2 linked regions of the Drosophila melanogaster genome follow. The protein of the gene in region 2 interacts with the protein of the main gene of each other region in a pairwise test. Each region holds a gene or a part of one and is shown on either strand. Other genes may lie near its edges.

What was found.
Region 1: the proteins of Prosalpha2 (region 2) and CG12857 interact in a two-hybrid assay, tested with the Drosophila melanogaster proteins (2 studies listed by BioGRID).

Annotation. Positions count from the first base shown.
Region 1 is NT_033778.4:14,757,407-14,761,572, forward strand, and holds CG12857 (uncharacterized protein), read right to left. Parts: upstream 2,197-4,166; 5' UTR 2,151-2,196; coding exon 2,077-2,150; intron 2,020-2,076; coding exon 1,269-2,019; intron 1,214-1,268; coding exon 716-1,213; 3' UTR 501-715; downstream 1-500. Other genes in the region: Trs31 (TRAPP subunit 31), read right to left, coding at 1-144, 200-375.
Region 2 is NT_033777.3:12,429,263-12,433,275, reverse strand, and holds Prosalpha2 (proteasome alpha2 subunit), read right to left. Parts: upstream 1,956-4,013; 5' UTR 1,836-1,955; coding exon 1,795-1,835; intron 1,693-1,794; coding exon 1,616-1,692; intron 1,531-1,615; coding exon 1,275-1,530; intron 1,210-1,274; coding exon 1,054-1,209; intron 990-1,053; coding exon 815-989; 3' UTR 720-814; downstream 1-719. Other genes in the region: Aos1 (activator of SUMO 1), read left to right, coding at 1-147, 204-681; CG5245 (uncharacterized protein), read right to left, coding at 2,101-3,606. UniProt on the Drosophila melanogaster protein: The proteasome is a multicatalytic proteinase complex which is characterized by its ability to cleave peptides with Arg, Phe, Tyr, Leu, and Glu adjacent to the leaving group at neutral or slightly basic pH.

The sequences.
Region 1 (4,166 bases), on a different chromosome or scaffold from region 2:
TCTTTGCCAAAGAGATTCTTCCACACCGTGGTCTTAACAAAGAGAAGCATTTGGGTTAGTTTTGTTTCTCGCTTGGAGCTGCGCTCCCTCACGAAATACAGGTCGATTATGCGGGTGCCTACATCTTGACCCAGATCGTGGAGTCTGAAAACGCCTTGGAATTAACGAATTAATCGCAAAAACTTAGAGAAACTCCCACCTTGTTTGCAATTCTGGGACTGTAAACACTCGGCTCTGCGAGTACTGGACGATTTCGCTGAAAAGCAGCGCCACAATGCTCTGGGAAACCTCCGTTTTGCCCTTGGATAGTGGTCTGTCTAGGATGTTGCTGCGCGGACGCATCGAGGATATTTTTAGGGCCTCCAGTTTTTCCATTTTCCTGATAAATGTATCAAATTATTTTCCAAAACAATGCAAAGTGTGCACGCCACCCTATCTGCCCGAAATGCCAAAGAGCGTTGCAGAAATGGTCACACTTAAAGTTGCGACAATAATACAATAAATATTAATTATATTTATTAAACCACTTGCTTTTTTTTTAAAATGTTGATGTACATTTTAAAAAATATATTATTAAAAATATGCTGATTTGTTTCATAAATATCAAATGAACGAAGTGTACAATGTATAACAGAAAAGTGTGCCAAGTTGTTATACTAGCACAAACTGAAGCCCGCAAATTTGAATTCTAGTCGTTACTATTCAAACTCAATAGTTAATCGGCAACAAAATCGTCCGATTTTATCTTCCTTGTGCTGCAACAGTCAATCTTTTTACTCGGGTCCTGAAATATCACCTGAGACCAGTGATCTTTGGAGCATTGTTGTAATTCCGAAAGGTAATCCTCGAAGTGTTTGAAACGAATTTCCCGGGTATTGGGACAACCGACGCCGTGATAATAGCTGCACAAGCTATCGCATATCCAGTTTCGCTGTCCGGAATCACTTGCGTATTCCTCACTCTGTGCGTCATTGCCCTCCAAGGCATCCTCGTACATGCGCGACGTTATTCTCGATATGGATTCGTCGATCTTGTACTCCACCTCCGGGTTGAAAATCAGCTTCATCACCAACGGGTGATCCTCCTCCCGTCGCGCATATAGTAGATACCACAATGGCATCAGGTTGAATCGAATACAGGACATTAAACGACGTACGTGCACTTTCCTCTTGTTCCAATCGTGACCCAGCCATCGAACAGCTATAAAGAAAACCTAAGAAAAACATATAAAATGCAATAATAACTATAAATATTATGTTGAACACCACCTCAATCTCGGTGTTCACACAGATTTGATCGGATTCGAGCAAAAAAATCAGATGGGAGGTCGGCAGATCGAGGAAATCCCTGGTGGCCACAAAGGTGAGCAGAAACTTGCGGATCCTAGTCAGCATCAAATTGCGAACTACATCCATGGCGGGATTGTCCTTCGACTCGACGTATAGGACACATGCCGTATCCTCGTTGTAGTATTCCTCATCATCGAAATATTTCCAACAATGCGCCGCCAGACCAGAGATCCTCAAATAAGTGGCGGCCACATAGACCTCCACAATGTGAGCCAGCTCCAGGACGGGCTCATCGCTCAGCATCCATTTGTAGGAGAGCATAAAGGCCTTCTGGGACACGATCTTCTCGGGCAGGGTGACCAGCAGCGGAATCATCTCCAGTTCACTAAAGAAGCGAGAGTACACCTGCAGCACGATGAAGTGGCAATTGAAGTACATATTGTTGATTTCTATCTGCACAGTGGTCTTCAGATGGGACTCGAACATGTAGCGCAGCACCGTGGCCAGCCGATCCTTGCAAGGCTGCTCCAGTTTCAGCCAGCCATCGGCATCCTCGAAATTATGACCGAACTCGAAGAGGGAGCGATTCAGAGACGTGGTCTCCTCGACACCATTCTTTGATATCTTACTGAACACTCTATGCATTTCGAGATCCTCCGCCTTCGATACGAATCTCGCAATGGAGTTTATTTCATCATTGGAGGATAACTTCTCGGCACTAAGCTTGGGACTGCAAGGAGAAGGAAAATATTTTAAGATTACTCCGACTGGTTTAAGATTAACTCACTTGGTAAATAAAACGCTGCAGGTGAGTTCCTGCCTCTCGCATTTCTGTCCGTTCTGCCTCATTAGCTCCTCCATTTCGAAATTTGGTTTTCTTGTTTTGGATTTTTGACTGCACGGCTACTGTGTTTTTAAGTGTTTTAAAAAAAAAACACACTCGTAGCTTTCACATTGTTTATTAAATTGTGTTTTATTGTTGGTATTCTTTTGTTCACATTTTCAAATACATTTATATGAATAAATATATCATTTATATTACTATTTTCTTTATCCTTTTCTGCAATGACACGTTTCTTTTCAATTTAATATGAGTATATGCGGCTATTTTAACTATTTTTTCTGATTTCGATGTGAAACAATAAGGGTAAGAAAATGATACAAATTGCAAAAGGTGATATTTTATTTTAGCTAAAGTAATAATTCCGCCTTTTGATCTAGTTTTATTGTGTGTTTGAGGACGATTGCAATAATAGTTAGCTATTTTTCCATTGTGTAAGCGTGTAAATTAGAGAGTAATATAAAACGTAATTGTAAATTATAGATACATATTTAACATTTTGTACTTCTTGTTGTTGAGTGTTTTGTTTCCGTTTCCGTTTCTGTTTGATCCGTTCACGGTTCATCTTGCCTTATATTTTCAAAAATTTGCATTCCATTGATGTCCGTTTTCAGATCTTGGCTTGTATTTTCTGAGGTTTGTATCAATGTGTTTGCTGAATTTTGCACATTTAATAACAATTGCCGTATTTAGTTAATTTTTACAATAATAATGTTGCTTTTTAATGTGTTTTTTTTTTGCACAACCTTTGCTTATTTTTAATAAATATGCATTTTGTTTTTTAGTTTTCGTGTGAATTTCTTTCTTTCATGGGTTTTCTCACCGACTTAGTACAACAATAATTATATAGTAAGAAATAAATTAATGTTTTTTTTTTTATTATTTTTATATATATATATAGCTGCATATATGAGTTTGTTGACTTTTTGAAAACACTTAAATTGTTTGTTTTTTGTTTTTGTTTTATTTTTACCCCTTTGCTCAAATGCCTCCTCTTTCGGCCATTTTATAAACGGCCCAAAGTTGTTGGCATTTCAATAAAAATTACAAATTGCTTCGCATTCTAGAATTATTTAGTTGCAAAAGATTTCCAATCGAGCAATGCTGCGCTCTTTGTTTGTCCATCGACTCTCTAATTCTAATTGGTTTCTCATTCTATTTCAACGTCTGAACAAAAGATTTTGGAAAACAAACGTTTTGAGTTTGGGGCAAAAGGAATATTTTGAATCTTCATGAGCCCTAAGAAGAGACAAAAACATCCTTTTTATAAGGCAACCGAATGGGTACATAGTTCTGAACTAAAGCACATTTAAGTAACAATTGCCGAGCATAGCGAACGCACAAAACTTGAGCATTGCCGCAGACTCTTTTGCTAGAGGAGTAAATCGAATACAATTTGTAATTCTTCTTCAGGTTCGGAGAAGAACGGCTCGACAGCCGTGTCGTCGTCGTCCACTAATTCTTCTGCCGAGTTGTTGCGTGTCTCGATTTTTTTTTTTTTATTCATTTGCGCATCAGGTTGCCGTTTGTTTGAACTTTTCGTGTGAGTTTTTGAGCGCGTGACATTGATTAACAAATTGGAATCGCGCAGAGAAAATCGCATTTAAATATATTTAGTTCTCGTTTCGCCTTTGCCTTCGCCTTGGCCTTTTAATACTGTTCTCCAATTTCGAATTGTAAACAAGCAAGTGTAAAATAGCAAAAAACCCTAAACAACTAAAACTAAAACAATCATTGTATAATATTTTGATTTTTCAAAAAAATGTGTGTTCAGTTACGAATAAAAACAAATAGCCCGTTTTTACAAAACTATAATTAAGCGAGAGCACTAAACATAAGTTACAATTTTAAAAGTATATTAAAATTAGATACATAATCCTTCCTGCTCTTTTGTATATACAATTAATTATGGCAATTCAAATGGAGTATACCGAAATGATACTAAAATCGAACCCCAGACCCATTTTGGCAAACTGATTTTCAAGCTGAATTGCTTCTTACGCATTCTTCTTTCACCCGATTTGAAAAAGCTGTGC
Region 2 (4,013 bases):
CGTTGTGGTGGTCAATGGCGCGACCAACGAGGAACTGTTGCGCATTGACACCATTTGCCGGGACCTGGGCGTCAAGTTCATAGCCACCGATGTGTGGGGCACCTTCGGGTTCTACTTTGCCAGTCTGCAGAAGCACAGCTACGTCGAGTAGGTTCCCTACCTACCATTGCCCATTGCTAACTTAATGTCCACCTTTTTTCCAGGGATGTTATTAAGCACAAGGTCGTAGCCAATTCGGAGAAGAAAAAGAAGTATGAAACCGTGTCCATTCCAACGCAGCGTGATGTGGATTATCCCGGCTACTCTGCCTGGCTTGATTTCGATGTTACCGAGCCTAGTTATTTGCGAAAATTGAAGCGCAATGGCCCGGGTGTTTTGCTATTAAGTGTCCTGCAAAAGTTCCGCACAACCCACAAGCGGGATCCCAGCTACAAGACCCGAGAAGCTGACCTGGAATTGCTTCGCGGAATTCGCGACGAACTGCTGCCCAACTCTATACTGGGCGACGAAGCTCTAGGTCTGATTTTTGCACAGATCTCGCCAGCGGTCGCTGTTGTCGGCGGCGTTGTGGCACAAGAGGTCATCAAGGTGGTTACTAAATTGGAGGCGCCACACCGTAATCTGTTCGTTTTTGACCCAGAGACTTGTGCCGGATACGTTGAGGCCATCGGAGCGAAGTGAATTTACCACAAAGGGCTTATTTATAAAAATCTGAATATCAAATAACACCAGTTGTAAAATTTTATTGGTTTTTTAATGTCCCGTACTTATTAAGAAAGCTTAGCTTGTGGTAATCTTAGCGGGGCGTTTAAGTTTAGGGGATGCTGGCCAAGTAGTCCTTGATTGAGGCGGGGTCCAGACGCTGGAATCCGTTCTGATCGCAGATTCCGATCTCAATGTTGTCGGCAGTCATTTTTCCCTCAAAACCTTCTTTCAGCGTAAGGATGGCGGTGTGAACAGCGTCGTCCAGCTCCAGATCTTCGCTGTAGCTGCAGGTTGATGAAAATATGAGTGACTTGCGACTTTAATTGGTGTACTATTATTGGTACTTACCGCTTCTCCAGGAAAGTTTTGCCGTTCACTGCGTTCTTGCCCATGGCAGTGGCCTTCCAGGCGAAGTAGGCGCCCGAAGGATCGGATTGGTAGAGATACGGACGATCATTGTCCCAGCCGCAGATCAGTAGGGAAACGCCAAAGGGACGAACGCCACTGTTGGTGGGATTGCATACGATTATCTATGGGAACCCAAAGTCGAGAAAAGCGCGCACACTTACCCGGACTGAGTGTACTCCTGCATGAGCGTGGCCACGCGCTGCACCAGCTGTGACACTGGAATCGGCTCCTTGTAGGTCAGGTAGTACGTCTGGGCGATCTTGCGGGCCTGCTTGACCAGCAGGCGGTAGTCCGGACCCATTCCCGAGTACACCATGCCGATGTGGTTGTAGATCATCTCCACGCGATGTACACTGTGCTGCTCATACAGCGGTGACTTGTGTTTGTTCTCTGTGGCAATGACGACGCCGTTGGAAGCTACAGCCAAGAAAAATAAATAATAGTGTGTTAGTTGAATGCACAGTACTGGCTGACAGGCTGACTGGCTGTGCGGCATGCTAACCTATAATGCCCACGGAGGGAGCTCCGCCAGATACGGCCGCCAATGCATACTCCAGTTGGACGAGTTTTCCGGAAGGACTGCAAACGGTAGAAAATTGTACTTATTGCCCAGTCATGGCGGCAGTTTGTGTTGCGCGGGGCGAAGCGAATGCTCCGCTCCGGCTATAGCGATGCTCTCACCTGAACGTGGTCAACGAAAAGCTGTATCGTTCGGTAGCCATATTTCCTGGGCCGCAAATGCAGTGATTTGATGTGTAAAATGAAAAAGCCGACTTATTTCGCACAGAAACAAAAATGACACAGCAATTGGGCGGCAGTGTGACCGAATGCTGAATGCCAAATATGGTACAGGTCGATCAGGGGGACTAAACAAATGGGCACACTACCGATTTCTAAACTTAAAAAAATATTTAAACTCATTTATTTATTTTCGCCTACTTTACTTCTTATTACATTATTTCTAAGTTAATTCTAAACTAATTGGTTTTAATCCGATTTAGTGCCGCATAGGGTTCGCCGCAGGTGTCGCCCAAGACTGGACTTTTGTGTGTATCGGGTTGAGCAGTGTGAACACTTGTAGGGTTTTTCCCCCGTATGCGTTCGCAAGTGTTCCTGGTGTTCTGCGCTTCTCGCAAACAATTTTGAGCAGTGCGAACACTTGAAGGGCAATTCTCCCGTGTGCGTTCGCAAATGCATGTGAAGAGTCGAGCTAGTTGTATAGGACTTCGAGCAGTGGGGACACTCGAATTGGTTTTTTCCAGTATGCTCTTGCAGGTGCACCAGCAGTTGCGAGCTTAGTTTAAACTCCTTCGAGCAGTAGGAACACTTGGGTACCTTTTCTCCAATATGATCAAGCATATGCACCCGAAGATGCGTACGACATTTGAAGTCCTTGAAACAGTGGGTACACTTAAAGGGCCGCTCTCCCGTATGCACTTGCTGATGCTCCACAAGATGTGACTTCTTGAAGAAAGATTTCGAGCATTCGGCGCACTTGTACTGTCGCTCTCTTGTATGCAAACGCACGTGGACTCGATAAAGTGACCTCATGGCAAAGGTGGCTGAGCACTGGGAACACTTCAGGGGCTCTTTTCCAGCGTGCTCAAGTAAGTGTAGTTGAAGTCTCGAATTCCTTGCAAAGGTCTCTGAGCAATGGGGACACTTGAACGGGTCTTCGCCCGCGTGCACTCGCAAATGAATTTGCAAACTATCATTCTGCAGAAAAGTCTTCGGGCACTGGGTACACTTAAAGGATCGTTCGGCGTGCGTCAGCAAGTGCTTTTGTAGAATTGATCTTAGCTTAAAACTCTTTGAGCAGTGGGAACACTTAAAGGGCCGTGCCTCCTGATGCGTTCGCAAGTGTTCCTGGAGATGTGAATTGTTTTTAAATGCCTTTTCGCAATGGGTACACTCAAAGGGTCGTTCTTCACTATGCGTACGTAAGTGTACCTGAAGATGAGATTTTCGCGCGAACGACGTCGAGCACTGGGTACACTTAAAGGGGCGCTCTCCTGTGTGCTCATGCAGATGTTGTTTAAGCGATGAATTCTGGGTAAAGGTTTTTGAGCAGTGGGAACACTTATGAGGTCGCTTTTCGTGTTTGAGCAAGTGTCGCTTGTAATGCGTCCTGCGTCCAAAGCTCTTGGAGCAGTGGGAACACTCGAACGGACGTTCTTCTGCGTGAAGTCGCAAGTGTGATTCGAGGTTTTCCTTTCTTGTAAACGTCTTTTGGCATTGGGTACACTTAAACGTATCTGTTTGCTTTCGCAAGGGGCGCTTCTTTGCTATTTTGGATTTACACGTCTTCAGCTTCGACGGGACGCCTTTAACTGGCTCCAAATCTTTGCCATAACTACAGAAGTTCTCAATCTTTATTTCGCTTTCAAGCTCTTCGAAGTCGCTGTTAGAAATGAAGATTAATTCTTCTTCGAAAGTGTCTTCTTGAGGTGGTTCGTCCTTCACGGGGCGTTGATCTACGTTCGCCAGATCCATAGTTCTGAAAACTATAAACATTAGGATTCATCTCTAGTGCGATTTTCAACTACTTACGAATAACTTCATGCGCTTTTAATCCGATTTTAGCACCGGAATTTTGTACAACAAAAGGGTAAGACCATCAACATAAAAATCAGCACTTTGCTTGTAAACAAAGCGTTTTCCTGGAACTGATAGAAACCTTGTTGCACTAGCTACAACTACAAAATTATGCAGATTAAAAACACCAGTCTCCGTATTTTAATTCAATCAATTTATGCATTCTAATGTAGTAAAATGTTTAAATGTTCAAAATGTTTGCCCTCTAAAAATATTTTATGCGGTATACTTTGAAAACGCGCTTAGCCCATCTTTGATGTCGTTTCCTTACCGGTCCAGCTTCGGTCACACTGTTTACCTATCTG